Macaca mulatta: one gene and its partners. The protein of the gene in region 3 purifies or fractionates together with the protein of the main gene of each other region. This does not show direct contact. Links are inferred from orthologs where the notes say so. Each region holds a gene or a part of one and is shown on either strand. Other genes may lie near its edges.

Evidence for each region.
Region 1: the proteins of CNOT1 (region 3) and OBI1 purify together in Homo sapiens (affinity purification with mass spectrometry; 3 studies listed by BioGRID and IntAct, with this or other methods). This does not show direct contact. The link is inferred for Macaca mulatta from reciprocal best matches to the Homo sapiens genes CNOT1 and OBI1.
Region 2: the proteins of CNOT1 (region 3) and TNKS1BP1 purify together in Homo sapiens (affinity purification with mass spectrometry; 5 studies listed by BioGRID and IntAct, with this or other methods). This does not show direct contact. The link is inferred for Macaca mulatta from reciprocal best matches to the Homo sapiens genes CNOT1 and TNKS1BP1.
Region 4: the proteins of CNOT1 (region 3) and FHL2 purify together in Homo sapiens (affinity purification with mass spectrometry; 3 studies listed by BioGRID and IntAct, with this or other methods). This does not show direct contact. The link is inferred for Macaca mulatta from reciprocal best matches to the Homo sapiens genes CNOT1 and FHL2.
Region 5: the proteins of CNOT1 (region 3) and CAPZA1 purify together in Homo sapiens (affinity purification with mass spectrometry; 3 studies listed by BioGRID and IntAct, with this or other methods). This does not show direct contact. The link is inferred for Macaca mulatta from reciprocal best matches to the Homo sapiens genes CNOT1 and CAPZA1.
Region 6: the proteins of CNOT1 (region 3) and TOB1 purify together in Homo sapiens (co-immunoprecipitation; 3 studies listed by BioGRID and IntAct, counting the BioPlex papers as one, with this or other methods). This does not show direct contact. The link is inferred for Macaca mulatta from reciprocal best matches to the Homo sapiens genes CNOT1 and TOB1.
Region 7: the proteins of CNOT1 (region 3) and CNOT6 purify together in Homo sapiens (affinity purification with mass spectrometry; 5 studies listed by BioGRID and IntAct, with this or other methods). This does not show direct contact. The link is inferred for Macaca mulatta from reciprocal best matches to the Homo sapiens genes CNOT1 and CNOT6.

Annotation. Positions count from the first base shown.
Region 1 is NC_133422.1:73,436,781-73,439,780, forward strand, and holds part of OBI1 (ORC ubiquitin ligase 1), read right to left. Parts: intron 871-3,000; coding exon 1-870. UniProt on the Homo sapiens protein: E3 ubiquitin ligase essential for DNA replication origin activation during S phase.
Region 2 is NC_133419.1:16,081,200-16,085,526, forward strand, and holds the start of TNKS1BP1 (182 kDa tankyrase-1-binding protein), read left to right. Parts: upstream 1-1,502; 5' UTR 1,503-1,615; intron 1,616-4,038; exon of another isoform or gene 4,039-4,213; intron 4,214-4,327. Other genes in the region: FACT complex subunit SSRP1, read left to right, coding at 1-50.
Region 3 is NC_133425.1:54,153,649-54,157,499, forward strand, and holds part of CNOT1 (CCR4-NOT transcription complex subunit 1), read right to left. Parts: intron 3,803-3,851; coding exon 3,506-3,802; intron 2,463-3,505; coding exon 2,322-2,462; intron 2,230-2,321; coding exon 2,125-2,229; intron 1,511-2,124; coding exon 1,391-1,510; intron 1-1,390.
Region 4 is NC_133418.1:13,500,457-13,504,942, reverse strand, and holds the start of FHL2 (four and a half LIM domains protein 2), read left to right. Parts: upstream 1-1,379; 5' UTR 1,380-1,676; coding exon 1,677-1,931; intron 1,932-4,055; coding exon 4,056-4,106; intron 4,107-4,486. UniProt on the Homo sapiens protein: May function as a molecular transmitter linking various signaling pathways to transcriptional regulation. Negatively regulates the transcriptional repressor E4F1 and may function in cell growth.
Region 5 is NC_133406.1:127,634,757-127,639,195, forward strand, and holds the start of CAPZA1 (F-actin-capping protein subunit alpha-1), read right to left. Parts: upstream 2,955-4,439; 5' UTR 2,745-2,954; coding exon of another isoform or gene 2,744-2,744; 5' UTR 2,560-2,743; coding exon 2,521-2,559; intron 2,495-2,520; exon of another isoform or gene 2,130-2,494; intron 1-2,129. Other genes in the region: ST7L (suppressor of tumorigenicity 7 protein-like), read left to right, coding at 3,285-3,489. UniProt on the Homo sapiens protein: F-actin-capping proteins bind in a Ca(2+)-independent manner to the fast growing ends of actin filaments (barbed end) thereby blocking the exchange of subunits at these ends.
Region 6 is NC_133421.1:59,144,346-59,148,848, forward strand, and holds the start of TOB1 (protein Tob1), read left to right. Parts: upstream 1-1,597; 5' UTR 1,598-1,894; intron 1,895-3,795; 5' UTR 3,796-3,933; coding exon 3,934-4,503. UniProt on the Homo sapiens protein: Anti-proliferative protein; the function is mediated by association with deadenylase subunits of the CCR4-NOT complex. Mediates CPEB3-accelerated mRNA deadenylation by binding to CPEB3 and recruiting CNOT7 which leads to target mRNA deadenylation and decay.
Region 7 is NC_133411.1:189,590,853-189,595,462, reverse strand, and holds the end of CNOT6 (CCR4-NOT transcription complex subunit 6), read right to left. Parts: intron 2,282-4,610; coding exon 2,069-2,281; 3' UTR 552-2,068; downstream 1-551. UniProt on the Homo sapiens protein: Poly(A) nuclease with 3'-5' RNase activity.

The DNA of each region.
Region 1 (3,000 bases), on a different chromosome or scaffold from region 3:
GATTTCTCACTCAATTTTGAAGCTATTTCGCCAACAGAATTTGCTATCGTGGTCCCCTCTGAACTTTCAAAATCTAAGTTTTGGGCATAGCTTGTGGAACAACATTCCCAAAATCCTGTCTTTGGGGAAGAAAAACATTCTGATTTCTTTTCATTTTCACTTCTACTTATATCATCTTCTGATGAATCTTTATTAGAAACATTTGAAGAATCACAAAAATCATCAAACACCAATTTTCTGAGATGGTTTGAGTGCTTTTTGGAACCTCCTGCTTGGACCACAGAGCTCTCTCTATTTTCTGGAGTACTGAGCTGAAGGCAACTAAGGGACAAAGGAGTACAAGGAGCTGGAAGATCATAAAGTTCTTCATCTTTGTAGGGCACACAGTCACTTGGTTTATTTCCCCATTCTCTTTCCAAATAAGTATCCATACTTGTATCTGTCACATCTAACATTATTTCTACCTGTTTTTGATATAGGTCTTTGTTCTTAGAACAGTTAATTTCTGCTTTGCTGGTACTTTCCTGCCTTGCAGAACTGGTGTCACACAGTCTGCTGCTGGAAGGCTTTGCTAGGTGAGAAGAACTGGTGGTGGATGAGCCAGGCTGCTTTCTGGCACTATCACCTTGATTCTTTGATGCCACATCCTCCTCACTGCCTTTGCTCCCTTTGCCATCTGCAGAAGGTGCTCTCCGGCAAATGGAATTCATAGCTTCCTTCTCTTCACTTGAATTTTTTAGCTGTGCAACTTGAGATTCTAGTTCCTCTATATACTTATCACTTCGTTCCAGGGCTTTCTTGAGGCGATTGGTTTCACGCTCATACTGTTCTACTTTGGACTGAAGAGCAGCAACTGCAAACCTTCCAAACCTACAAAGAATGGAAAGATAGTTAATCTTATAACTCAAGCTTTTTTCTTTTCAAGATTTGAGAGTGCAAACTGTCCCAGGCTATTCTAATTTCATCTAACAGTGACATTTCAGATCACTCAATGAGTAGGGCAAATGCCAGATGTATATTTGCAAAAAAAGGTTTCCCCACTTACATAATAATAAACATATGATAATAATAGCAAAACCTAATAAGATATTTTTGTGGTTGAATCAGACTAGTGGTAGCAGAGAGGCAGAAACGTGCTGATGATTTCCTCTCGAAGAGCTGGCTCTATCAATTCAGCTCATATATGCATGAAGAGTTATCCCCTAAAACAATGGCAAAGATTTATGATAACATTTGAACAGTGGTCTGCATCTTGAAATATTTACATTCAATCATTTTCCTATCATACAGCTGTGTTTTACAACACATTTCTTATACAATGTCACCTTGTCAAACATAAAATGCCAATTTGATATTCAGAAATCTTAGCATTCCCAGGAGAGGTGGTTTTAAATACTTATTTGGGCCCTTTCAATTACAGCCACCCTTGATCTGAAGCTTTTCAGAGCACTGGCCTTTAATTCATGGCAGCACTACTTATTTTTGGCATTTTACAACTGTGTGGGACATCAATCTCATTTCTTTCAACTTTGAAATACGAAGTCAGTGCTTGTGATTCCAATATACTAGGCAAAAAAAAAAAAAAAAAAATTGTACACTTTCTGAAAGAGAACATTTTGGACAGTGACTGAAAAAGAATTCCTTTATTCATAAAAACATCTACTCCTTTTACTCGGGATTATCTTGCTTTTATTTCCATCAAGAATGAGTACTGGGTTAAGCTCAAGAAACAATTTTTGAGTACCTAGTATAGGTTAGGTGGTATATTTGGGGCTGGGAACCCAGAGATAAAAAAGACTGTCTAGCTCCATGGGACACAAAATATCTACCTTAAATGCAATCTTATCACCAAAAAAAATTCTATCTTTCAGGAAACTTCTTATGAGCCAGTAAATAACATAAGCCTTACGTTCTAATCCCATGAAAAATACCTTATCTCCTCCAGAGTTCTTTTCCAAAACCTATTCTCAATCATCTTTTTGATGATTTATATATTGGCCCATTTCTAAGAATTAAGGGATTGTCTGTTTGGAGGAAGCTATGAGAAGGTGACTTTCAAAAATTATTTTTATCTTTGGGTTTATCTTTTTCTTCCTTTTTTCCCCTAATTTAAAAAATAATTACAATTAAGAACATGTATTTAGTATTAAAAAAAAAAAACTACCAAAAAAGCAGACACCAATAGCAATTGCCCCTCTTAGAATCAACCACAACATGTTTTCAACTCCTACTTAATGCCCATCACCTCCTAAACCACTAGCCCAATTCACTCCCCATCTCAACCCCTACATTATCCCTGCACTCTTATCACTGAAGGAAAAAGCAGAGGCAAAGGTAAATATAGAATCATAAAATCTCAAGATCAGAAAGGGCTTTAAAAGACATGATTGCTGAATATTGATCTACTCAACTGCAATTAACTGAACCCCCAGAGAGAGCACACTCCCTTCAACTTCTAAAAAAACAGCAAAAACCACAGGTATAACAAATACAAAAGCAACTATGATAACAAGCCTTCCCATTTTAAAGACAAAATTTACTACTGTATTTGGTTAAATGAATGATGGGAATTTTTCTTCTTTGTTAAAAATTTTGGCTTATAAATATAGTACTTCACAGAGTTGCAGTTCTGTAAGAGAACTTTTAAAAAGTGAGGAAAGACCTTTCAGTACATTAAGTACAAACGTTTGTGAGTTCCTGATTGTAGCTACTCTGGCATAATCAAATAACCCATGTTTTGAAATGGAAAAACTGTGTAGCATGCTTATTTAATGCAAATAAGCAAAAGTGACAGCCTTACATTTGCTTACCAAGATACATTTTTTCAAGTAAAATTTTTTTATAATAAAGTTATCTCCTCAGATAAAAAAATCAAATGACTTAAAAATCAAATAATGCTACTAAATAGTAAGTCAGTTGCAACCAAAGGATATCTCTGGGAATTCAGAGGCCTACACACAGAAAGACCAGTCAAAAATAAAAAATGCTTCCCAAAATATT
Region 2 (4,327 bases), on a different chromosome or scaffold from region 3:
CCAGTACTCCCCCCAGCTCAGAAGACTCAGCGTCAGGATCCGATGAGTAGAAATGGAGGAAGGTTCTCTTTGCGCTTGCCTTCTCACACCCCCAGACTCCCCACATTTTGGTACCAGTTTCTCCTCATGAAATGTAGTCCCTGGATTCTGTGCCATCTGAACATGCTCTCCTGCTGGTGTGTATGTCACTAGGGCCGTGGGGAGACTTCTTAACTCTGTTGCTTCCCAAGGATGGCTGTTTATAATTTGGGGAGAGAGAGGGTGGGAGGCAGGGCAATGCAGGATCAAAATCCTCATCTTACTTTCCCGACCTTAATTAAGGATGTAGCTGCTGCTGGTCCTGTTCAAGTTGCTGGAGCAGGGGTCATGTGAGGCCAGGCCTGTAGCTCCTACCTGGGGCCTATTTCTACTTTTATTTTGTATTTCTGGTCTGTGAAAATGATTTAATAAAGGGAACTGACTTTGGAAACCATGTCTTTATGCTTTCTTTGTAGCCCTGGTTTGTTGCTCCTACTTTTACTGGTGGTGGTTACTGCCCTGGTCAGACTAGGCAGAGCCTGGCCAGCCGGGAAGCAAGTCTCGAGGCACATCCTGTTCTGTTCCCGGCTGGAGAAGCATTGGTTTTCACCCGCCTCTGCCCGGTTGGGCCACCTGAGAATCTAGAAATGAGAGCTGATGTGATTAGGAAGTCTCTCCCGGTTACACTCCATTAGCCAACCAAGCTAGGGGGAGGCAGCTCTTGGCCCCATCCTTACCTATGAGTCAAGGGTCTTCCAAGGCTTTAGATAATGAAATCAGGATTGACTGTCCTTCCCGCAGCCGGGGGAGTGGAAACGTGAGCCTGGAGAGTCGGGGAGGATGAGCGTGTGTGTAGGGTGGTGGTGGTTGCAGCCTGGTGGGGGGGTGCAAGAAAAGTACGGAGTATATGTGCAGCTTTTGTTCTTACGGGAAGAAGGGGGGATACAAACTTCAGTGTAGGGAGGAACCCACGTCTGAGACGGGGCCTGAAAGGAGATAAAGGTCACTACTGAGGAAAGCAGAGCTGCCAGACTTCCTCACCGTGGCTCTAAATCTGAATTGACACAGGAGGGGTGGCCACGTTGCGCGCGTTCTCAGCACTCAGGTGGCTGTACCAGGAAGCCGCTCCAGTCCGCCGGCTGCTACCTTCTTGCCGGCGTAGCTCGATGGTACTGCACTCCGTGCAGGCGGCGGGGCCCGGGAGGGGCCGCCAAGGCAGTCTCTCTAGGCAGTCGTCTCGGTGTCCATTTTACCCGAGCGCCCCCGGCTGAATTGCGTCAGTTTCGCCCCGGTCTGAGCCTGGGGCGGGCCCCTCATCTGCAAGCCTCATGAATAATTGAGTACTGGGCCGCGCCTGTTTGCCGACGGTGGGACGAATTCTGCACGGGCTTCCAACTCCCGGGTTCCACCGGCTCATGCATATTCATGAGCGCCCTGGGGGCGTGGGCCTGGGCGGAGCTAGGGGCGGGGCCCCGCCGGGGCTCACAGTGGCTTCGTCCCGCGGTGACGGCGGCGGCGGCGGCGGTAGCAGCGGCGGCGGCGGCGGGGACTGGCGTCGGGGCGCCGAGCCGAGCGGAGCCGGATCCCGGGCGAGCGCGTGAGTGCGCGGGGGCGGGCGGGCGAAGGAGGGGGCGGGGTCCGGGATGGGGCGGGGGAGGGGCATGGAAGGAGTGGGCGCTTTCCAGCCGAGACCTCGGGTTGAGGTGGTGGCGGTGAGGGGGTCACCAGGAAAGTTTGCAGGGGCCGGGGGCGCTGGGGACGCTGGAGGCCCGGGGGAAGCTGGCGCGTGTGCGCGGGGGCGGAGGGCGCATGGTCTGGAGCTCGTGCTGGCGGAGCCAGAAGAAAGGGGGGAGGGGGCGAGGGCTTGGGGCGGGGCCGGGGGCGGGCAGAGCCGCTGGAGGGACCCCTGCCTCCCCTTCCCCTGGGCCGCGCTAGCCCCCTCCCCCGGCTCCTTCGGCACGCCCCCAGCCACCCCAGTCCGCCCCCACCTGATCGACGTCTGCAGCCCACCGTCTGTTCGCCGGCTGCTTCACAGCCCGCTCACAGGTCCTCCGCTTCTGCCGCCACCGCCGTCCCCTCCTCCTCCTCCATCCTCTTCTCCTCCTCCTCTTCGGCTGCCGCTGTCCCTTCTGTGTCCAGAGCTCCCCACTGGGCCCCTCCAGACAGCCCATTGCCCGGGGCTGTTCCATCTTCCCGTTGGCCCTCCCTCTTTCCACCAGTTTGCGTGCTGTCCCTGCCGACCTCTCTAGCCTTCGATCCGGCTGGAGATCTTGCGGTCCATAGGGGCGACCCCGCCTGCGCCGAGTCCCCTCCGGGGCTGGAGCTGCCCAGCCCTTCTGGAGGCCTTATCTGCCAGGGGTCAGTTCGTCTCTACCCCGCTACCCTCTACCTCCTGGTCTTTTGGGGGTGGGGAGTGCTCGGATCCGCTGCGATTTTGCAGCTTCTGGCCACAGCCTTGGTGGCCTTGCTCACCTGGGGCTCCTGGCTGGGGTCTCTGAGTTGCTGTGGCCACCTCCGCACCTGGGGACTCTGAGCCCGCCTTCATTGCTGCAGCCCCTCATACCGCAGAGGGGCCCATCAGAACCTCAGGTGAAAGGATTTTTTTGATTCTGAGCCAATTCATTTCCATGTCCAACCACCCACACTATGTCCCTAGTAATAATGTTCAAGGACAAGGAAACAATCTTGTGTTTTAATTTTATTTTTTCTATCATGTGCCCCTCCCCCCACCACACTTGGCCTGGCTCTGCATAGTTATTCACACACCCACAGTGGGCAGTCTTCCGTGGTGGTTGACTGACCAGTGGGTTGACAGTACTGGGTTTCTCTGCTGTCTTCATACCCTTTCCCATCTTTGAAATCCCTGGGGCAGGGTTAGCGTTAGGGGAGAGGAGTTGGATTTTGCAGAGGTTGAGCACTGGAATTTGGTGCTGTCTTCCCAGACCAGCTGGAGTGGGTGGTTTTAAGTGAGGCAATGCCCCTTGCAGGTTGGAGAGGGTTGGGTTGTCCTCAGGGCTCTGCACACCGGGTGAGGGAAACTTCCCCCTTGCATGAGAGGTGCAGGGCCCTATTCCCCAGGGTCTCCATGTTTTTGTGGGTGGGAGAGTGCTTCAGGAGCCAGGATGGGAACTGAGGAGGTGGTGGAGTATCTGAAGAACAGGTGACAGGACTAGGGCCTGGGAGAGTGAAGGAATGGTCTGGGAATGCTGGTAGCCTGGGGTCACGGAAGAGGAGGAGGTGCTTATCAGGATATTAGCTCATTGGTGACACTGAATGGAATCACAGTAATCATAGGCAACATTTATTGAATCCTTATTATGTACTAGTCATTGTGCTAAGCAGTTTTCATGTACTATATCACGTAAGCCCCCTCAGGGTCTCAATAATCCCATTTTTCAGTTGGAGACACTGAGGCTTAGAGAAGTCACACGGCTAGAAAGTGGTAGACCCATCCAGCCTTGAATCTTGGTATATCAGACCCTGAAGCTCCTGTGGCAGGCTTCTACCACAGGGCTGTGCCACTTGGTTTAATTTCTTCTGTTCCCCTCAGAACTCCTTAAAGCCAACCCAAGGCTGGTGAGTGAAGCCCACATAGCCCCTTTTCATAGGCTGTGGCTGTTCCGCCCTGACTCTCTTGGAAGGTGGAGCCCCAGGGAATTTTCCCCCAAGTCACTCCACCCCCCGGATATTCTCAAGCCCTGTCCCGTTCTCCCAGCCCAGGCCTGGGCCGGCTCCTCCTTCCTCTTGGCTAGGCTCTGGAAATCCAGTGGGAGGCCATTGCTATGGCAACAGGACTAGGCCCTGGCTTTACCTCATCAAATTCCAAGCTGAAGCCAAGCGATTGAGAAATTAAAGAAAAAAATATATTCCAGATGTTTACTTTTTATTCCTTATTTTTCCGTGTTTGGATGAGACAGCTCTGAGGGAGGGGAGAGTGGGGCAGGGATGTGGAGGGAGAACAGGGAGAGGGGGGAGAAGGAACCACTCCCAGCTTTGGGAGGGAGGGAGAGAGGGAAGGAGGGTGAGCGGGAAGGGGGAGGCAGGCAATGAGGCGGAGCCCAGGTTGGGGAGGAGCGGGTTTTTCCCGTCTCCCGTGAGGTGATTCACAGAGTCTTCATACTTTGCAACTCTCTGGCTCTGCTTTGAGTAGACACCTCCAGCGGGGCCGTCCTACTCAGGGGGCACTCTGGGGACTGTAAGTGGGGTGTCTTGGAGAGTTTGTCAGAGGAGGGAGCAGTGAGTGACTCCCTGAAGCGCTAGGACTTTGGGGTTAGAAGATAAGAATGGGGAGGATCTGGGAAGAGTTGAG
Region 3 (3,851 bases):
TGAAACCCCGTCTCTACTAAAAAATACAAAAAACTAGCCGGGCAAGGTGGCGGGCGCCTGTAGTCCCAGCTACTCGGGAGGCTGAGGCAGGAGAATGGCGTGAACCCGGGAGGCGGAGCTTGCAGTGAGCCGAGATCCGGCCACTGTACTCCAGCCTGGGCGGCAGAGCGAGACTCCGTCTCAAAAAAAAAAAAAAAAGCAAAAAAAGCAAAAAAAACTAGCCGGGCGGGTTGGCGGGCGCCTGTAGTCCCAGCTACTCGGGAGGCTGAGGTAGGAGAATGGCGTAAACCTGGGAGGCGGAGCTTGCAGTGAGCTGAGATACGGCCACTGCACCCCAGCCTGGGCGACAGAGCAAGACTCCGTCTCAAAAAAAAAAAAAGAAAAGAAAAAAAGAAAATAATTAGCCTATAATCTTCAGAAGTGTTATGGTCATGAAAGATAAGGAAAAACTGAGTTACCTATACCAGCTAGAACTGAGGGAGACTTTAAAAATATGACAACTGAAGAAATGTGTGATTCTAAAACAGGTCTTTTACTAAACATTATTGGGATACTTGGTGAAACTTGAATGAGGTCTATGAATTACATGGAGTAAGGTATTAGTATTCATTTCTGACCTTAATGGTTGTGCTGTGGTCACATAGGAAAAAGGTTTTTTTATAAGAAATACAAACCAAAGGATTCAGGAGTGATAGGGCTATCAGGTCAGCAACTTACTCTCAACTGGTTCAGCTGGAAAATGTTTTTCCCTATATTTCCAAGTTTTCTGTAAACACCTTTGAAAATTTTAGAAAATTCTTTTATTTAAAAAATGGGAAGTCTGGGCATAATGGCTCAGGCCTGTAATCTTAGCACTTTACGAGGCTGAGATGGGCAATCACTTGAGGTCAGGAATTTGAGTCTAGCCTGTGTAACATGGCAAAACCCCATCTTTATAAAAAATACAAAAATTAGCTCAGCAAGGTGGTGCACGCCTGTAGTCCTAGCTCCTCAAGAGGCTGAGGTGGGAGGATCGCTTGAGCCTGGGAGGTGGAGGTTGCAATGAGCTGAGATTGCGCCACTGCACTCCAGCCTGGGTGACAGAGAAAGACCTTGTCTCAAAAAAATAAATAATAAAATTTAAATATAAAAACCCAAAAGTTATTATGTTACCATGCAAATTCCTCTAATTAGGCCAAACCTTAAAGATAAATCACCCACACCCACGTCAATTTTTTCTTTAATCCCCTGTATGTCATACTTAATTGGACACAAAGAATACCTACAACTCAAAAACTATAGGTTCCCCTGTAAATTATTCTCCCAGGAAGCAAGTCAAAAACATATATTAAATGTCAAAAACATTTAAATTAATTGGCAAAACACTCAATTTAATCTAAAACACATTTACCTTCATGGGCTGGGCTAAAAATCCTGTGGGCTGACTTAAGTCATTTGTAGGCAAGAAGCCAGGAACATTGCGTGCAAACTCTTCGTAAACAGCCAACTGCTTTGGATCCACACCACCAACCTTGAAAGAAGAAAATCTATTTTGACAGAATTCACTCAATAATCAAAATAAACTGTTCTGAAAGTGGAAAGTCTGCATGTGAGTAAGCTCAGGGACACAAGAGTCATTACAACATGTGACAGTATGATTAAGCATACATGCACACTAACAAATGCAGTTCAGAAGAGGGCTTCTCATTTCCCTGAATCCTGCTAAGAGTCACCTCATTTATAAATTAACTGAAAGTTTCTCTTGGAAAGTGCCTCACATGGGACGATGCCAGTGCAATTCTCCCTTGGAGTTGGTAAGTATTATCAGATTTATCACTGTCTCACTGGGAACAATAAGCAACCATTAATGTGAGAAGCCCAAGGTGGGAAACATGAAAACTAGTTAAGGCACATGAACTCCTTACAGTAGTAGCATTTCAACAACTTTGGAGGAGCAAGGGAATTTAGAGCTATTTCCATACCTGCTCCACAGGCAGCCATTAAGTGAAATGCTAACAAGTTAAGATGTTTTCTCATAAACAACATTTAACCCTGCTGTCCTAGTCCCAGTAAGGAGTTCAATCAACAAGAACATTAAAAATAAAACAAAGACAGAATGGGGAGAGACACGGCCCCAATTCTCACTTTCAGCCTGATTTGCTCTGGCATCCGTTCGGCTTGATATGTTAAAACAACAGGATCACAGTATCTGCGTCCTTCTTGCCTAGCATGTTTTCTCAGCTCAAATTCCTGCAAACAAAAAAAGTCACTGAGGTTCTTGTTATAAGGCACTTCCCTAAATTAAGAAATAAAATCTTAAAAGGCAAATTCTAAACACTTACAGTTGCTAATCTCTTGTCCATCTCAGGGCCTGCTTTTTCTACTGCAGTCTTCTGAATAAAACAGCAAGCCAACTCACAATTGTCCTGAGCTAACTGAGCAGCTGCCTGATCCATCATTTCCCTTTGTTGTGGGGAAGCAGTCTATTAATGGAGGTGGGGGAGTGGGGGGAATAGAAAAAAAAAGACTTGAAAGTTAATGTGGACAGACAGGATAGTAGAAAATGCAGTGCATTTGGCAAATGCATTTTAAGTTCTGACTCTACTTATGAATCAATCAGCTGTGATCTTGAAATAGTCTTAACAGCTTTCTCACTTTTAAGACAAAAATATCCTAGACACCTTATCAGTTTATGGTGAACATGTCTTAAAATCAGTAAAGCAGGCCAGACATGGTGGCTCACACCTGTAATCCCAGTACTTTGGGAGGCCGAGGCAGGTAGACCACTTGAGGCCAGGAGTTCGAGACCAGCCTAGCCAACATGGTGAAAGCACTTCTCTACTAAAAAAATACATAAATTAGCTGGGCGTGGTAGCACATGTCTGTAATCCCAGTTACTTGGGAGGCTGAAGCATGAGAATCAGTTGAACCTCAGAGGTGGAGGATGCAGTGAGCCAAGACTGCACCACTGCATTCTAGCCTAAGCTACAGAGTGAGACCCTGTCTCATGAAACAAACATTAAAAAAAAAAGGCAAAAACCCCAAAAAAAATCAGTAAGCAGTAAACAAATTACTAATCATGATACCTGAATAACCATGATATCTGAGACTCAAAACTAGTAAGTGAATTATCTGAAAAGTGTGTGCACATGCAACATCACTTTAAGTCATTTTGTATCAGCCTTCTCAAACAGCTTTCATCCTTCCTGATTAACAGAAATGAGTATTGTTAGATTTCACATTTCCTTTTTAAATCTTAATTTATTTAAACCAATAAATATATGGGTATCTACTATCTGTCAAACATTGTGTTGAGGATACAACAGCAAAAAAAGAAAAAAAAAAGCACAGCCATGATGCTTTGCCTCACAGAATTACAATCCAAAATGATGGAAGTTATCAAACAAATATAGTGATTATTAACAATAAGTGGTAATGCCCAGTGCCATATACAGGCAAAGAAAAAACTTATTACAGACAAGTAGTAATATGTTTTGTACCTATATCAACGAAATAGCCAACTTACACGAAGGGCTGAGGCAAAACTGTTTTTTAGGTTGGTAGATATGCTCATGAGCAAAGGTTCCCTGCATGTAATCATTGCCATTCCAGCTGTCAAGTTACGCATCATGTGATGAGCTGCTATTCGCATTCGAGATTCCTCCGAATCCAGAGCAAAATCCTTCCTGACTATTTGCTCACAAGTAGTCATGGCAATCTTAATTGATCGATCAACCACAGGATGGACCAGCTCCTGGACAGCCCGTTCAATTGCCTGACGCACACACTGCTTCAACTGCGGATGGGCCTGAAACAAGGGAATCTGGGGGGTTGGGGAGGACAAAGTCAACACCTTGTTTAAATAAGACAAT
Region 4 (4,486 bases), on a different chromosome or scaffold from region 3:
TAGAAGAAAAATAACAGAACTAAATAACTCTATCAGTAAAAAAAGCAAAGTTAAATGGATTACACCCATAAGTCAGAAAGCTTAAAAAAATCAAAATGTAAGACAAGAGGAAATCAGAAAGAAGATAAATGCAGAATTAATGTTTCATCATTTTAGGACTTGTTTTTACAAACTGCAGCTTAAGGCTCACCATTTGAGAACTAGGAGACCATTTCCTAATATGTAACAATAGCGACAACACAGCTAGGTAGCTGTCAGGGGCTGGGAGCCTTTTCTACACAAACTTTGCTCTGAATTTCAAAATACTAGCCTGCCTTGACACTTAGTGGAAATTCAGGGAGGGTGGCCTTAACTCAGGTTCTTCAGGGAAGTGTCCCGTTTCAGGGACACCGTGGGGTGGGGTTAGGGGACGGCTGTATTCCGCACATCTAGTTCTGGCTGGGCTTATGGCAAGTCTCAGTCCTCTGGAGTCACCTGAGTGACTGAGGGATGAGAGGCATTTCTGATCCCGTAATATACTTACATGGTTTTGCCATCTACCGGACTCCAGTTCAAATCTCAGCTGGCACAGTTACCTTTCACGTGGCCTTGAGCAAATCTCTCTGAGCTGAACTTTCCTCACCATAAATCTGGTAAAAATCTTTACCTTAAGGAAGTGTGGATCAAATGAGATACCAGGTGGAGCTAGTGCTCATAGAGTGGAAGCTAAGGTGATGAAACCCTTGATTCTCAAGTTCTGTGATTCCATGATGGAGATCCATGAGGGCTACCAGATGGGGAGTATCAACTAAAAGAAAGCAATCACGGAGTTCTTCCTGCCTTCTCTGGAGGATGTATTCCTATGAGCTGCCCTGAATGTTAAAAATAATACACCTGCCCCCAAAGTGCCTAGGACGCCTTTGTTGTCCACCTGCTCATCGTCCATCGGTTTCTGCAAGTGGACCAGTTACCTGCTCAGGAGCAAACGTTTCTATCACGATGCACCCTCTCCCAGGGATGGGCTCAGCCTGTGCTCTCCCTGCGACAATGTTGAACAGTGCCATCTGTCCCTACCCAGCGTCAGTCTCACTCAGAGGGCACAGGCTTGGAGTGTGGGAGGCACGCTCCCAGCTCACTTTGCTTTTCCCGCCCTGGAGGGGAATCCAGGATGTCTAACTAGTCTTCTGGCCCCGAGAGGGAGAGGTAGGGATAGGACCTTCCTTTAGTCCCCTCCCTAGTGGAACGAACGATTCTTTACGGTCATCTGTGGGGTTCTTTTCGTAAAGAAGCATCTGCAGGGTAAGAAGGAAAAAAATCCACCGTGCAAATACATCCCAGGCACATGCCTCCTGAGAAGTGGCCCCCTCCTCCCTCCGCCGTCCCCGGCACCTCCTCGGGCTTCGCCAGCTTCCTGCTCCTGGGAGCAGGCAGAGATCCCGGCGTGGGCAGACCCCTGCCACTGGCGTCCAGGCCCCGTCCGAAACTCACGCCCACGTCGGAGGAGACTCTCGGGATAACCAAGGTGCTCCCAAGACCCGGAGGGCAAGAAGAAAGAGCCCTGGCAAACAAAGGGCATGGGCCGGGAGCGCCGCAGCCCGGGGCGGGGGCACGGCGACCGCTAGGCCAGGGGGCGCCCGCCCCCAGCGCCCCACGCCCGGTGCCAGCGAGCCGAGGCGTGCATCTCCTTATATGGTCAAATGACACGGAGGGGGTTCTCGAGGGCGGGAGCCGCGCAGCGCTCCACTCGGCCGGCAGCGGAGCAGCAGCCACCAGCCGCCCGCGCCCGCCCGCGCCGTCCGGGAGTCCCCGGGCCGCTGCGGCGCCGTGAGTACCTCCAGCTCCCTGCGCCCCGGAGGGAGGCCGAGGGGCTTAGCCACCAGGACTCGGAAGAGGGGGCCGAATCCGGTGCGAGACCCGGGGAGAGGGGAGCAGATCCGGAGTTGGGGAGACCGGTGAGTGGAGAGGAGAGCTGTGGGTCGGAGAAGAACCCTGGGAGAGGGGAGCCGAACCGTGCGGAGAGAAGCCGGGAGAAAGGAAATGAGCTGTAGGGTAGACCCGGGAGAGGGGAGCAGATCCCTGGGGGCTGGGAGTGGGGAGACCACGGGAAGAGGGGAGCGGAGCAATGAGAGGGGGCTAGACCCTGGGGGCGCTGGAGCTCAGAGGAGCCCACGGACCCATCCCCAGAGGGGGGATTACAGCCCAAGTCCTCACCAGGTGGGGCACCGCCATGCGGGCAGGGGCTTGGCTAGCCTGGGTAAAGGCTGGCCGCGGGTCCCAGCCGGCGGCTGCGGGGAGGTGACGCTGTCCCCTTGCTTCAAGGCCCGACTCCGGAGCCGGTTGTCCTGGCACGGTGGTCTGCGCGGGGGTGTCCGGGCTATTTCCCTTCAGTAGAAATAAGTGGAGCTTGCAGTGTGACCTCACTCCTTGACTCGTGTAGACATTTAATAACTGAACCATTCGGTTAAAAAAAAAAGGCGTATTTTAAATGAAAAAGATTCTAAGTTTTTCTTAAGTTGCACTCGTGTGATATCTTAGCATACTAGAAATTGAGGGAAGAAAATACTGTTTTTCAGATTTTAAATGAATCAATCATATTTACTTTCATATCCCCAGTCAGGTTTTAATTGGAAGTAGGCTAACCCCGTTAGCTGAAATGTGTAGCTGGCCTCCAAGCAGCAGTGAACTTAGACAGCACTGAACTTAAGGCCCGCACTCCCTTCCACATATTTTGGAAGGTAATAAATCACAATTTGGGCTTAGAATCAGGAGAACTGTCTTCAAAACACAACTCCAAATACATCTCACATTTTTGGTGCTGACTCTACTAACGAATGTTTTATAATAATATATTAAAGAAAAGAGGTTTTGCACTATCCTGAAGATGTTTTAGACCAAAAAAAAAAAAAAAAAAATTTGCAGCAAGTCTTAGAAGTACAGGAATTCCTAGTCTATCAATTTAATTTTAATAAAATCAAACTCAAAGAACATTTCATTGTGCATTTATATAAAATTTTTTCAAGTGTTACTGGATTTAGATCACCCTCCAATTTAGAAGATCATCAATTGATACATAGAATTGTGTTTTCATGGTGTTTATTAGCCTGCCATGGTTTAAAATGCGTTTACACCATCATATGTCGATGAAGGCTAATGATGGGCTTACTAAAGACCAGAAACTGTTCTGGGCACATAGATTCTGTCTCATTTTAGCTCACGGTCTCACAAATAACCACAGGCAGATGCGGTAGGCTAGAGGATGCGGGGGACTGCATCTAGGCTGCCTGAATTTACATCCGGGTCCCTCAACCTGTGCAGCCTGGGCCAAATCACTTCATGTCGTGGTGTCTCGGTTTCCTTCACTGGGAAACAGTGACAATGATGTTGTCTCTTTGGCAGGGTTGTTAAAAAGTCTGGACATCATAGACAGTGTGTACCTATTTGACAGCCTCATTTTTACAGGTAAAGACACTGAAAACAGAGATCAAAGTAACTTTAACTCAGGGTTTCCCAGGCTGTAAATGGTAGCCCTGAGATCTGACCCCAGGCAGCTTAACTTGAGAACCTGAGTTCTAACCCTAAACACACCACGGGAGGAACATTTGAATATTTATTTATTTTTTAACATTTGAATATTTCTATGAGGCCTTATGCTGCATTCTTTGACCCAAGATTGCGTGTTAAGCCACTTCCAGTACTGAAAGATATTTAAATTGCAGTCAAAAACACCCAGTAGAATATTGCACACACACACACACAAATCAGACTAGATATCAGTTTACTCCCGTCCTGTGCTGAGGGCCAGTTATTCAGCCTCTGTGACTCAGGCAGCTTCCTTTGTCAGCACCGGGGCCTGAGTTGGTAAAGTTGGTAAGCGGCTCTCTGACTCAGATGCCCCGAGGTAAAAAGTTCCTTGAGCCTGGGTGAATGGAAATGTCAGACGTTGGGTTCTTCTGTGCGGTTTTATTATGAGAATTTGATCAAAGCCACATTTATTAAGTGTCCATCTCAGGTTGCGTCATACTGAAGTCGCTTCCTCAAGATGACCATCTGAAACAAAATGCATGTGCTTTCTCTAGGGGCTGAGAACTGTGTCTTCCTGGAGACTAGGCTGGCATTTTGACTTTGGGGTGAGTCAAATGAATTTCCTCTGTCATCCTAAATTGTGGATTTCAGTTTTAGCTCCCGTGATGATTACTTTCATGTGTCAACTTGACTGGGCCATGTGGTGCCCAAACATTCGGTCATATGTTCTGGGTGTGTCTGCGAGGGTGTTTTTGGATAGGATTGCATATGAATGGGTAGACCGAGTCAAGCTGGCTGCTCTCCATAATGTGAGTGGGCCTCCTCCAAACAGTTGAAGGCCTGAATAGAACAAAAAGACTGAGTAAGAGGGAAGCCCCCCTGCCGGACTGCTTCAGCTGGGACATTGGTCCTTTCCACCTTTGGACTCACACTGAAACATCAGCTCTTCTTGGGTCTATAGAGGCTGCTGTTTTCAGACTGCAAC
Region 5 (4,439 bases), on a different chromosome or scaffold from region 3:
CTACAACTAAAACGTTTATTTCTAAAAGTTACTACACTTTCAACTTCCTGTTTTATTTAGATAGCTCATCATGACCATTTCAGGTAACAAAACCCAACTTCCTTTTTACAAAGTGATTAAAAAAACTTCAGCAGTTATGAGAATAGATGATTTTACTAGCTTTTACATACATATTTATAAGGAAATTAGAGTCCATTCATTATCACCAAATTTTCTAAAGGTTTACTGCCTTTAGAAAATGTAACCAAGATAAAAAGCAATATTGAAATATATTTGGCAACAAAAAAACTATGCTAGAAGACGAAACTGGTCACAGATCTGCTATTAAAAAAACCAAGACTGGCCGGGCGCAGTGGCTCACGCCTGTTATCCCAGCACTTTGGGAAGCCAAGGCGGGCAGATCACGAGGTCAGGAGTTGGAGACCAGCCTGGCCAACATAGTGAAACCCTGTCTCTACTAACAATACAAAAAAATTAGCCAGGCGTGGTGACAGGCGCCTGTAATCCTAGCTACTCGAGAGGCTGAGGCAGGAGAATCGCTGGAACCAGAGAGGCAGAGGTTGCAGCGATCGCACCACTGCACATCACCCGGGGTGACAGAGCGAAACTCCAACTCAAAACAAAACAAAACAAAAAAAACCCAACACGTTAATGTTATTAAAACACTGCCAGTATTTAAAGACATCTTAATTGGCATTTTAAAAAATATACTTTCCCAAGTTTAATTAAAGGCATTCTAACCTGGTATCGAAGACAAAAATCCAACAACACTGGTCAATGTGTATCACGTAGGCACAATAAACTTAAAAGTTTATTATTTAAATTATTTGTGGAATTTTGACCGGGCGCGGTGGCTTACGCCTGTAAACCCAGCACTTAAGTGGCGGAGGCGGATGGACTTGAGCCCAAGAGTTTGAGACCTGCCTGGGCAACAAGACGAAATTCAGTCTCTACAAGAAATACAAAAATTAGCTTGACGTGTTGGCGGGTGCCTGTAATCCCAGCTACTTGGGAAGCTGAGGCAGGAGAATCATTTGAACTCGGGAGGCGGAAGTTGCAGTGAGCCCAGCGAGACTCCGTTTCAAAAAAAAAAAAAAAAAAATTTGTTTAGTTGTAACAGGATTTGTATTATAACAGGATTTTTGCTTAATTTTATTTGAATAGTAACTATTTGCCTTAGAACAATTTATTATAGATTGATTTCCAGCATAAGCTCATATATGTCTTTGTTTTTGTCCTAAATCTTATGTATGAAGATCAGTTTCCAAATAAGAGAAAATCTAATGCTGTTGTTCAATGGCTTGTTAAGCATTTCAAAATGGCATGCCATATGTAGGTATGATGTATCAAGTTATTCGGTGCAGAGGACTTATGGATCATAACAGTCCCCTCCCCATCCCAACTTCTTATTTAAAAAAACACCCTGGTAGATTTACAGAGCACTCAAGGGGACACATTTTCCAATAGCCACAGCAGGAGACAAATGTCATAATTCTTGTAAGTAAGTTGTCTCGTGAGGTCATTCTAAGTTCCACGTGCCCTAAAATCATGTACTTACTGAAAAGCCTGACAAAACTGTTATGAAACTGTGCAAATGTCAGAAGAAAAGTTATTCCACCTTAGAATGTGCTCTTGTATTTAAAACGCTTTTCAAGAAATAAGTATACAAACTGCACACTGACAAATTCAGCTAATCAAAGACTCCACAGTGGAGCACCAGAGAAGGCAGGACGCTTTGTCAAGTCTTGAACGTGTTAACATGCAGTTTATTATCTGTTACAGAAAATCTTTCTTGAGGTTAAGAAAATCCATCAGCTATTCTACATTTGTTAACAAGAAACAAAATTTTCAAAAATTATCGTTAAAAGGGTGTGTCTACAGGGAAAGTCTAGTGCTCAAATTGTGAAGCACATGCCCTGAGGCTCACAGATTTATTATAGCGAATCAGACAGGCGACAGTACTTGAGAAAAGTACTGCATGTGTAGTGAGGTGGACAACATTTGGGACCTCTCCTTGTCGAGGAGTCGTGACAGCAAAATCACTTCCTGAGGAAGGAGGAGCAAAAAGGAAGAGGCCATCCTGACCAGGAAGTGACTCGCCCTAAACTAACCCCAATTATATCTACAAATGGGGGGATGGGGGTTAGCACCAACTGCTAAAGGCGGTAAAATAACTGCTTTTTGATATGTAGCAACATAACCACCACCCACTCTCAAAATTACAGGAAAAAAGTCCACAGTCACGATCTAATAAAGGAAACGTCTGTTCCCTCGCAGGGAGGCCCCTGGGCTGTGCCTCAGGCCTGAGAGAAAAGGAGAGTCGAGGAACGAGGAACTGGGGCCACCGTGAGGCAGAGGAAAGCCCCGTAAGAGGGAAGCGTCCCGACTGCGGAGAGCGTATGTCAGCATTGACAAAGAAGCTTCTTTTTCCTGGGGACACTGCGAGGCTCCCAACGCAGCCGGGCCGAGCCCCAGTTCCCTGTCGGGGGAGGAGGTAAGAGAGAGAGGCGGACCCCTTACCTTCTCCTCATCCGACACACGATCATCGAAGTCGGCCATCTTGGGCTGTTCTGGCCCAGCCCGGGTGTGGGCGCTAGGCAGGCCGGGAAGAAAGCCGAGTGATGGAATCACCGCGGGGGCCGTCGGAAGGACCCGCCCGGAAACGCCGACCAAGAGGGCGCCATGTCAGTTATGCGCGGGAGTGACGTCTACTAGTGCCAGCGCCCGCGCCCGCGCCCCAGGAAGTAGGCTTTGCCTTCGGTGATTTAAAGTCTAATATCTTTCCCAATGAGTTACACTCATTTCCCATCCATCTAATGGGTGCTGGCAGCGTGTTTCGATTATTCTTGGCTCCTGGCCTCCATCCGACCAAGTCGCTCTTGCAGTTTTTCTGGTACCCGTTATCTCCACGACAGCCGAATCCAAAGCTCTAAGAGCTGCTCGGCCGCTGGAACGATCGGTGGCTTTTCCAACCCCGGGGGGCGGGGGTGTGAAAGGTGACCCTCATTTCGTTTGGAAGCGGTAATACTTCACTTTGGGGTCACATCTTAGTCCAGTTCCTCCAGAACAGGCGCTGCTGTCCGCCCCTTCCCTGCCCCACAAAGGAATAGGTATCCTCAATCTTGAGACACGCTCCTCCACCTTCGAAATCTTCTCGGTCCCGGTTCCCCAGGACTCAGCCTTCAGAGAGGCCAACTTCAGGTCCGCCACTATCCCAGGATTCCCGACTCCCGGTTTCCTGTCCTTCTCCCCTCCCAGCTCCTGGCTCCTGCGATAGCGGCAAGATGGCGGACGGTGGCGGCTCGGGTGAAGCCGCGGCTGCTAGAGCGTCTCCTGCACCTGTCCCCGGCCTAAACCCGACGTTGGGCTGGAGGGAGCGACTGCGAGCCGGGCTGGCGGGGACTGGGGTCTCGGTGTGGTTAGTGGCGGGGCTGGGGCTGCTTTACGCTCTGAGGATCCCTTTGAGGCTGTGTGAGAATTTGGCAGCGGGTGAGAGGACCAGACCTCCTGGGGCAGGGCGGGGGGCCAGGAGAGATGTCGGGGGCAAGAGCCAAAGGGCAAGAGATTCTCGGTAGTCCTAGAGGGCCTCTGAGGAGTCGATGATGAGCGATCAAGTGGGTTCTTTTTCTTTTGGACTGCAACCTTGCAGTTGATTGTCAAGCCTGCTGCCTCTACCGGCTCCTCCCTAGAACTCTTAAGGTCCGTCCTTTCTCTTATGTCCTCGTTTTTCCGTGGAAAAGCCACCTGACAAGCTATAAGCTTCAGGTATTAGGACAGAAGGGTGCATTCTCAGATTAGGATACGTAATTTATATTGGCTCCCCCGCCTCTGGTAGGATCCCATAAAGTCACTGCTTTGAGTGTCTCGCCGCCCAGCTGAGAGAACTCATATCCAGGCAACAAAGATGAGCACATCTGTAATTTAAAGATTTCAGAGAAAGAAAATGGCATGATTTTAATTGACGATTCTCTTGTTTTAAAATAGTTCTGTTAAGAAATAGTTGTCGTGATATTTTTGTCTGTTCTTTTAGGCTTATCTTGAGTAATGTAGTACAGGAAGTGAGAGAGCGCCACAAACAACTGTCGGTTTGCTAGTTCTTTCGACATCTGTAGAACACTTGCTATGTAGTCTGTGCTGAAAATACTAACACATGTAAGAAGTGATGATCCTGATGGATTCTCATATACTGTACTATTCTTTAGTTGTAGACGGGATAAAGTGTTTAGGGCCCAGATCCCCTTAGCATGTGATTATATTTCACTCAAGCTCTGAGCAGCAACCTCAGAACAAGATAGAAGTATTTCTGTTATATGATTCAGTACAGTGGTTGATTTTTCTGTAGCAGAAGGTAGCGAATGTCCCCTTTCCTGTTCAGAGATAACATGAAAGACTGTGAGGTAAAGTTCGGAAATATTTTGGCTTTTTTGGAGGGTAAGGTA
Region 6 (4,503 bases), on a different chromosome or scaffold from region 3:
GTGGAGAAGGCGGCTCCAACCAGATTTTGCGTCCATAAAGCCGAAAGCTTCTAGGCCTGACATGTACAGCGGGTTTGTGCCCGAGGAGCACAGCTGGTCTACACGGGCCCGCACCGTAGACACTCTACTCCTCGGTGAGCTGCGGTTTAACTTCCTTATAGCAGGTTGAGAGTGCAGGCCCCGTTTGGAGGGGAAGGCGGCGCCCCAACGGGTGTTTTCCCAGGAAGTGCTCCAAGAATGGAGAGGAAAGGGGAAAGGGGAAAGGGGAAGGCCAGGCGATGGGCGTTTCATTCATTGCTTCTTTCTCCCCATCCCCTCCTTCGTTCCCCGCCAACTTTCCCCTTTTCCCAGTCGGAGTTTGACGTCGGTCTCCTGGATACCAGGCAGCCAATCGCTTGGTTGCGAAGGGACCAGCGCGGCCAATCAGGCGTCGTTGCTACCTGTGAGTAGTATTTTTAGCTGAGAGGGACGCTCGATTCCACTCTCGATGTAATTTCGTGTATTTCTCTGGGGCAGGTTGTGAAAAAGGCACTTACCCGCCCCCCGCCACGAGTCCCTCTCTTACCCCACTCCCTAGGTACCCGCACATATTTCAGCAGAGAATGATTTTAAACGCACTCTACAGGCAGGCACCGCGTTTATTCTGTGCACCTGCGTTCCAGCAAGCCCTAGAAATGCACACATGCGTGTGTGTGTAGACATGGACACAGATACATACGCAATTTGGCCTCGTGTCGCCACACCCTGGGCACGGCGTGGGCTGGGACATTTGGAATAAACGGATCCGAGTCGCAGCCAGGGTCTCACCGGGAGGCCTGAGGCTGCGGAAGCAGTTAAACTGCCGGCGGGGCGGGAGCTGTGGCGGCCTCCCTTCCCCACCCCCAGCCCGGCTCCACGGCTTTGGGTTCTGCAGCTGCCACTGTCTGGGTGGCGGTTGGCCTAGGCCTTAGGGTGATTAATATTCAATTAATCGGGTGCACGAATCCCGGTCACAGTTTGCCCTTTCTCTACCCCGCCCTGGGGTGGGCTGGAGGCTGATTTAGTAGCTATTCCACGAGCGGGATCCTCCTTGGCTGCAGCCCCACGCGGAAAGGGCATTTTCTGGGTACCCTTGCCGCCCTCCCGGAGTCCTGGGCTCCTCCAGCCCCGGTTCTCCTTGGCCGCTTCGCCACCGGCTTCGCCCTCCTCCCCCTCTGCCCGGCGCTCTCCGCCTAAACCGGGCGTCAGCCGCCCTACCCCACCCCTTTCTCTCTTTGGCACGTCTCCCCCCACAGTCCCTTTCCAAACGTTCTCTTCATTCCGTCCCCAGTGCTCCGATTGTCGGTTCATTGGCCCTCCTGGAGCCCGGAGGGTGCGGCTTCCCCACCCCTGCGTCCACCGCGCGTCCGGACAGGGGCAGGCGGGACTTGGCCAATGGCGTCGGGGGGCAGGGCAGGGGCGGAGCCGGCCGGCGGGGGACCGGGGTGCGGGGCGGGGAGCGCGGGGAATGGCTGCGCCGCGGGAGCTGTGTGACGCTTGGCGGGCGCGCGCACCTCGACGGAGGGGGATGGGGGCGGGGAGGAGGCCATAAAACGAGAGGCGGGGCGCGCGCCGCGGCAGAAGGAGCGAAGCTCTGGCCCGGCGTGGAGCGGGCGCACTACGGGGACGCTGGGCCGGGCACCGGGCTGTGTGGAGAAGTGAGCGCGCTCGTCTGACCCCCGTGCCCGCCACCCCGAGCCACCATCGGCGAGTTCCCAAGGCCCGCCCGAGGCCTCCGTCCTCTGCCCTCAGCCCCGCAGCGGCGACGTCTTGCACTCGGCGAGCTCGCCGCTCCCGACCCTCCCGCGCCCCCGCCCTGTCGCGCTGCTCCCCGCCCAGCCGCGGGTCTGTGGTCCAAGCCGCCCCGAAGCAGCCCGTAAGTATCTCGGGGCGCCGGGCGGGGTTGGCAAGGAGACAGGAGCCCCGGGCCCAGGCGGCGGAGGAGGGGCTGCAGCGGCGTCGAGCTCCGGGCCCTCGGGAGCTCGGGGACGGCGGGGTCGCGGCCCTGGGCGCCGAGGGGGCAGCGCCGGGACCCGAGGGGAGCGGCTCCGAGGGGCCACCGACGCGTCGGACTCGGCTCGGGCAGTTGACCGGGGACGGGCGGCCCGGGGCGTGCTGACGGGAATCGGGGGGTTGGGGCGCCCAGGGGAGCGACGAGCTCGCGGTGGAACGCTGGGGTTCGAGGGGCCGGTGGCCGCGAGGCTGAAAATGGTGCCGGGGAACCGGTGCTCCCCCAGGCTCTGACCGGGTCCCAGGAGCCCGGGGCGGGTGCCGGGGGGCGGGGAGCGGCGGGTCGGGTTACGGCGGGGGAGGGGAGCGGCTGACCCGGCGCCCCGACCTGCTCGGTGCTGGGTGCCCAGCCGGGAGAGGTTGCTCTTCCATTTCCCGGGCCTTCCTCCTCCTCCTCCTCCTCCTCCTAGGAGGCTCGTACTCTCTTCCTCCTCCACCTCCACCTCCTCTTGCTGTTGCTGCTGCTGTAGCGCTTGGGCTCCGAGGGCTGTGAGCAGAAATCTAATGAGATCTAACTGGCTGTTTATGTAATTCTTCACACTCCTGCCTGTCTTAAGGCGTTGCTTTGTAACTACCTTCCACCGAGCCTGAATTTTGCTTGGCTGCACCTTCAAGCAATTGGGCTTAATCAGCTGCCTCTGCCGGCACTCAGGCTTTTGACTTGGAAAGTGTTTTTAGTTTGGGGGCAGCCAGGGATTCTTTTTCCCTTTGTTACCACGAATATGGAAAATAGAACAGACGAATTAAAACCAACTTGATTTTTAAACGTCCTTTTAAATCAACTTCAGTGTGCAAATAGATCCCTTTCGCAAATATCTTCTGTTTGCCCTTGATCTTTTCTTATCCCCACCCAGTGCTGATCCAGCAAACGTTTAAAGGTCGACCTTACCATACTTGCTTCTCCGGCTGTTACCGTGGGAGGGAGGGAGGGAGGGAGGACGGACGGAGGTTTTTAAAAATCAGACTAAAACTCAGAAACCCTGGCCTTTAAACAGAATAATCAATAGTTTTAATTTGTGTCGTTGCTTTTGTTATACTTGCTACCTAATAGGAATTTTCAGATTTAGAAAAATACACATTGAAAACAAAAGACCCAGAGAAGCTGGATTTTGTTATATTGTGCTCTTTATATACTTAAGGCCGAAACTATATAGAATAATTTGGTTCATAATTATTCACTAGGATGAAATTCATTTAGTACTCAGTGTCTTTAATTTTAGCATCATGTACTATGGAAATTAAAATGATTTTCCTAACTTACCAGATTTTTAAATGTCAATGACAGAGCAGATTTAAATAGTATATGTCCAAAGTAAACTAAAACGTGGATTCACTTCTAAGTTGGTGAATAACAATAAAAATTACTACCTAAAAGTGGCATCTATATATATGGGGATGGGGGGAGGATGCTGAGTACAATAAATATTCTTGTGAGAATTGAGGGGAGAAGAATACATGTTCTAGTGATATTTCTTCTTAGAACTCTATTCAGAAACAGGCTTTTAAAAACATTATTTCATCTGTAAATCTACATTTTCCTGTGTGATTTTAAACTTTAATCAACAATTTTCTATTTTATATTTTGTACTATTTACAGTTTTCAGGCTTTCTGTCCTAGTAGACATTTTCTTCTTCTCTTTATCCTTAGCAAACTAACACTGGATATTAGACATTTTTTAAGGTGAAATTACTTTGTGGGGGGAAAGGTCGTGGGACTTATATTACCTTTATCTTATTTGGATATGTTTGCTTTTGTTTTGTTTTAAGGAACAAGATCACTCAAGGTGAAGGATAATCTACTAATACCAGCACTTTGAATGAAAATTTGTTTCTCTGCCACAAACTGAACATTTTTTTTTTTTTTTTGGTGGGGGAGTTGAAACCTAATTTTGTGGCGTAGCAGCTATGCAGCTTGAAATCCAAGTAGCACTAAATTTTATTATTTCATATTTGTACAATAAGCTTCCCAGGAGACGTGTCAACATTTTTGGTGAAGAACTTGAAAGACTTCTTAAGAAGAAATATGAAGGGCACTGGTATCCTGAAAAGCCATACAAAGGATCGGGGTTTAGATGTATACACATAGGGGAGAAAGTGGACCCAGTGATTGAACAAGCATCCAAAGAGAGTGGTTTGGACATTGATGATGTTCGTGGCAATCTGCCACAGGATCTTAGTGTTTGGATCGACCCATTTGAGGTTTCTTACCAAATTGGTGAAAAGGGACCAGTGAAGGTGCTTTACGTGGATGATAATAATGAAAATGGATGTGAGTTGGATAAGGAGATCAAAAACAGCTTTAACCCAGAGGCCCAGGTTTTCATGCCCATAAGTGACCCAGCCTCATCAGTGTCCAGCTCTCCATCGCCTCCTTTTGGTCACTCTGCTGCTGTAAGCCCTACCTTCATGCCCCGGTCCACTCAGCCTTTAACCTTTACCACTGCCACTTTTGCTGCCACCAAGTTCGGCTCTACC
Region 7 (4,610 bases), on a different chromosome or scaffold from region 3:
CTCAGCCTCATTAGTCCAACCAGCTCCAGCTCACCTTCACTGGAAATTGTCATGATGCACATCACCAACACAGTTTCAGGAAAAATGAGTAAACATACCTTTTATTCACACTCTACAAAAAACCAATAACAAAACCCCATACAAAGTTATGCACTGGTTCTACATCAATACGAGCTTTCCAATGTTCTGATTATAAACTGGATGTGTTTGGTGTCAGCACAACTTAAACAAAAAGCAAAAAACAAAACCAAAACATCACAATGAAATCCTAGAAAAAACAAAAAACAAAAAACCCTCAAAGGAAAAAAACAGGTCCAAGACAAAGATTCAACATCAAAACCTTTTGGAGAATTTTCTAAAAGGAAAAAAAAAAAATCAATCATTTCCCAAACAACTCATTCTCTATATAAAAATTGTTAGTAACAGTCAATATTTTTTTTTCCTAATGCTCACATGGCGTCCTTTTGCTCCCCTGCCTGCAGTTGAAACAAAAGCAGTTTGACCAAACTCCTTCGGAATTCATTTGACTTTTGAGAGAAGAATTAATAAATGAGAACAGACCATGTACACGTTCACTTTGCAAAGTTAAAGCTGGTTTTCATCTCTATTCTACTAATGGCACTACGGGCAAAATAGAGCGTGTGATGTAACTTTTATCTTGGTTGACACACTAAAATGACTTAGTCATTTAAAAAATGATCTGAAGAATTGTCTTAGGGACCTGTTTTGAAAATACATCTAATTCATACTGCTTTATAAATGCAAAATTACTTCTTCTTAAAAAAGGATTAAAAAAAAATAACAAAAAGACTAAGGAATACACGGACAACAAAAAGAATTCACATGATAGTAGTATTCCGGGTGACAAGCAGCACACTGCAATGACACCGAGAAGCAGTGCTTGGATCTGGTGAGCAAAGATCCAGGGACTCACCCTATAACATGTTCCAAAATGTGATATTCAATGCTTCACAATGGGAAAAAGCCACAGCTCATACAAAAGCATTTTCATAAAATTCTCACAAATGTTAAACAGTATTTTAAAAATATAAAAGAGGATGCACAGATTTTCTCTGCATGCACAGGCAGTGCTTGGTGAGAACAAATTTAGGCAGGCACAGTGGAGATTGGACAGGAAGTGTCTCAAAAAAGAGTTAAGAAGCTGTACCTAAGCAGCTGTAGTTTTTTAACTTAAAAAAGTTAGATTTAAAAATATCAGAATGTACATATATCAACCATTACATTCAGTCCATAAATGTCTATAGATCATCACTGTTCAGCTTATCTGTCCTGGTAGATAGTTTTCATAAAAATTCATGAATAAGTTGCCTCTGGTCTGAAAACATCCTAAGGTTTAAGCAGATTTGTATGTAAAGAACCATGTTCTCAATTTAAAAATAAAGTAGTACAAAAGGGCTAACAAAACCCTAAGAGTGCAAACCACGAGCAGAGAAAGTCTGTTGCAGCTTCTTTTACAAGCTGGCCTTTGTAACACATGAAACAGGTTCTTTTTCTTTAAAAAAAATTTAGCCTTAGTTTACAATACAATCATTTCCAAATGATTTTTTTTTTAGTACAAAATTTCATAAATCAGGTCTTCTGTGGATCATATACAATCATAAAGGCTAAATTCAGATTCTATATTTTACAAACAAGTCTGAAAAAGGAGGGAGTAAAGTATGGAAGAATGGTCTCTGGATGTTACTACTGGCCTCAAAAAAGTAGTGCTACAGATTTCTGTGCAAAGAGAATATGCTGTTCAAACATTTTCCTATTTCAAGGCATGAAAATATTATATTGGATAGAAGAAATAGGAAAATTTCTTATAACAAATTAAAGATAGGTGCAAACACACCAATCCCTGTCTAGCAGTATAAAGCATATTGGGCTCAGAATTTGTCTGTTGTTAGCACCTGGCTTTCATACTATATCCTTATCAAATAATCAGATTGCAAATCCAAATCATTCTTAAGCAAACAAAAATCCTCAGTGGCCATACCTCACTCCCCTATGTTCAGATTTTCACAAGTTTACAAGTGAATCAAGGCTGTCCTCTGAAGGTGCTTGACTACCTCCTGCCAGGAAGGTGGATGCCGTTGACTTGGGGCAGGAAAGGCAGTAAGAGCTCCAGTTGTGCAAAAAGTGAGAAGTGGTCAGAGGGAATGAGGGGGTGCGGGCAGCCACTGATGTTATTCTCAACCAGCCAGTGGTGGTCCAGAGGGCCCAGGATGCCTAAGGTGTTCAGCTGAGGTTTAGAATAGAAAATGTAGTCGATTATACCCTGAAAAACAACAGAAAAAAAGATAAGCACCACATAAGACAACCCTAAAATCCTGAGTGCTTTCAAGACACGTCTTTACTGTCATGTTTGGTGAACAGAACAAAACAAGTGAAACTTACTAGCTTATAGGATGAGGTGTGTACTACATATACCAAATGGTCCCCTTGCAAAATGTCAAATCGAGCAGAATGAAGCATTCTTCTTATCTGGAACTTTAATAAGACCTAAAAGACCCTTCAGGATGCAGCCTCTGCTTCTCTTTCCTAGACTAATTTGTGCCACTTTCCCTGCTGCCGCACTAGCCTTTGGAGTTAGAAAGGGGTGAGGATGGGAGGGGAACCTATAGGTACCAAGTTCTTTCCTGCCCCAGGACACACACACACCCCGGACATGTGCTCCACCCAGCTCTTTCCTGCCCCAGGACAGACACACACACACTCTCTCTCTCTCTCCCCCGCCACCATTCTGCCTGGAACACTTTCTTCTACTTGTTATGAGGTCAATTCCTTCTTAATCTTTCAATGTCAAGTTCAACTGCTTTCCAAAGACCTTCCTGAATCCTGCTCCTACCTACTTAGCCACCCTACCTCCCACCACTGATTCACTTCCCTTGCTAATGGCCATCTCAAGGTGTAATTATCTATTCATCTGTGTGGTTGAGACTTGTCTCTCATCACACCTCAGTTCCACGAGAGCAGGACTGTCTCTACCTGACCCCCTTTTCTCTCAGCAGCACCCCGCCATGGCATCTAATAAACTGTTCCCATCTGATGGTTCTGCTCCTCTCCTCGACATGCTCTTGGCCAAATGTCCTGAAGGACAGTCAAGTATCTTCTTCCTGCCTCTGTATCAGCAACAGAAAGAGAAAGAAAACCCTAAGCTTTCCCACCCTCTGGTTATACCCATGCCTTCTCTTCAATGTCTCCTGAAGAATCTGAAAGGAAGGGGCACTTGAGGATCAACAGGGGTTTACTTTCTGTGCTCTAAGGTGCAAGAGCTCCTGAGATACTGTCTAAACTCTTATTTACACTCTGACAATCTAATCTAAATGACTACTTTTCCAGCAGCTTAGAAACAGAAAGCTGGGAGTTGAGAAAGCAGAAATGCAACAAGTAGTTTAAAAGGCAGCTGAGTCAGATGCGGTAGCTCCCGTCTATAATCCCAGCACTTTGGGAGGCTAAGGCAGGAGGACTGCTTGAGGCCAGGGGTTCAAGATCAGGCTGGGCAATATAGCAAGACCCCGTCTTTACAAAAAATTACCCCAAAAAATGATTTGGGTATGGTGGCGCACACCTGTAGTCCTAGTTAGTGGGGAAGCTGAGGCAAGAGGGTTGCCTGAGCCCAGGAGTTCGAGGCTGCAGTGTGTTATAATCACATTACTGTACTTCAGCCTAGGCAACAGAGTGAGACATCTCTTTTTAGAAGAAGGACAGCTGAACACAAGAAAGTGACAGCCCTAAACAATCGCTAATGTTAAAAGTGATGATAGGCCGGGCGCAGTGGCTCAAGCCTGTAATCCCAGCACTTTGGGAGGCCGAGACGGGCGGATCACAAGGTCAGGAGATCGAGACCATCCTGGCTAACACGGTGAAACCCCGTCTCTACTAAAAATACAAAAAACTAGCCGGGCGAGGTGGCGGCGCCTGTAGTCCCAGCTACTCGGGAGGCTGAGGCAGGAGAATGGCGTGAACCCGGGAGGCGGAGCTTGCAGTGAGCTGAGACCCGGCCACTGCACCCCAGCCTGGGCGACAGAGCGAGACTCCGTCTCAAAAAAAAAAAAAAAAAAAAAAAAAAAAAAAGTGATGATAGTCTGACCAGGGGCGATGGCTCACGCCTGTAATCCCAGCACTTTGGGAGACTAAGATGGGTGGATCGCATGAGGCCAGGAGTTCGAGACCAGCCTGGCCAACATGGTGAAACTCCGTCTCTACTAAAAATACAAAAATTAGCCAGGTGTGGTGGCAGGCGCCTGTAATCTCAGCTACTTGGGAGGCTGAGGTATAATAATCACTTGAACCTGGGTGGAGGTTGCACTGAGCTGAGATCGTGCCACTGCACTCCAGCCTGGGCAACAGGGTAAGATTCTCTGGGGGGTAAAAAAAGATGTATCTTAGAAACACTTATAAATGGCTAACATAAACCACATTTTGGCATGCAAGAGTTTAGTTTCAATTAAAATGTTAAGAGACGGAACGTCTTACCCCAAATGTCACCCAAATTAGTTACTATGGTGCTGTATATCTAGCTATTAGTAAGGAGAATATAAGAAACATAATTGCGGCCGGGCGCGGTGGCTCACGCCTGTAATCCCAGCACTTTGGGCGGTCGA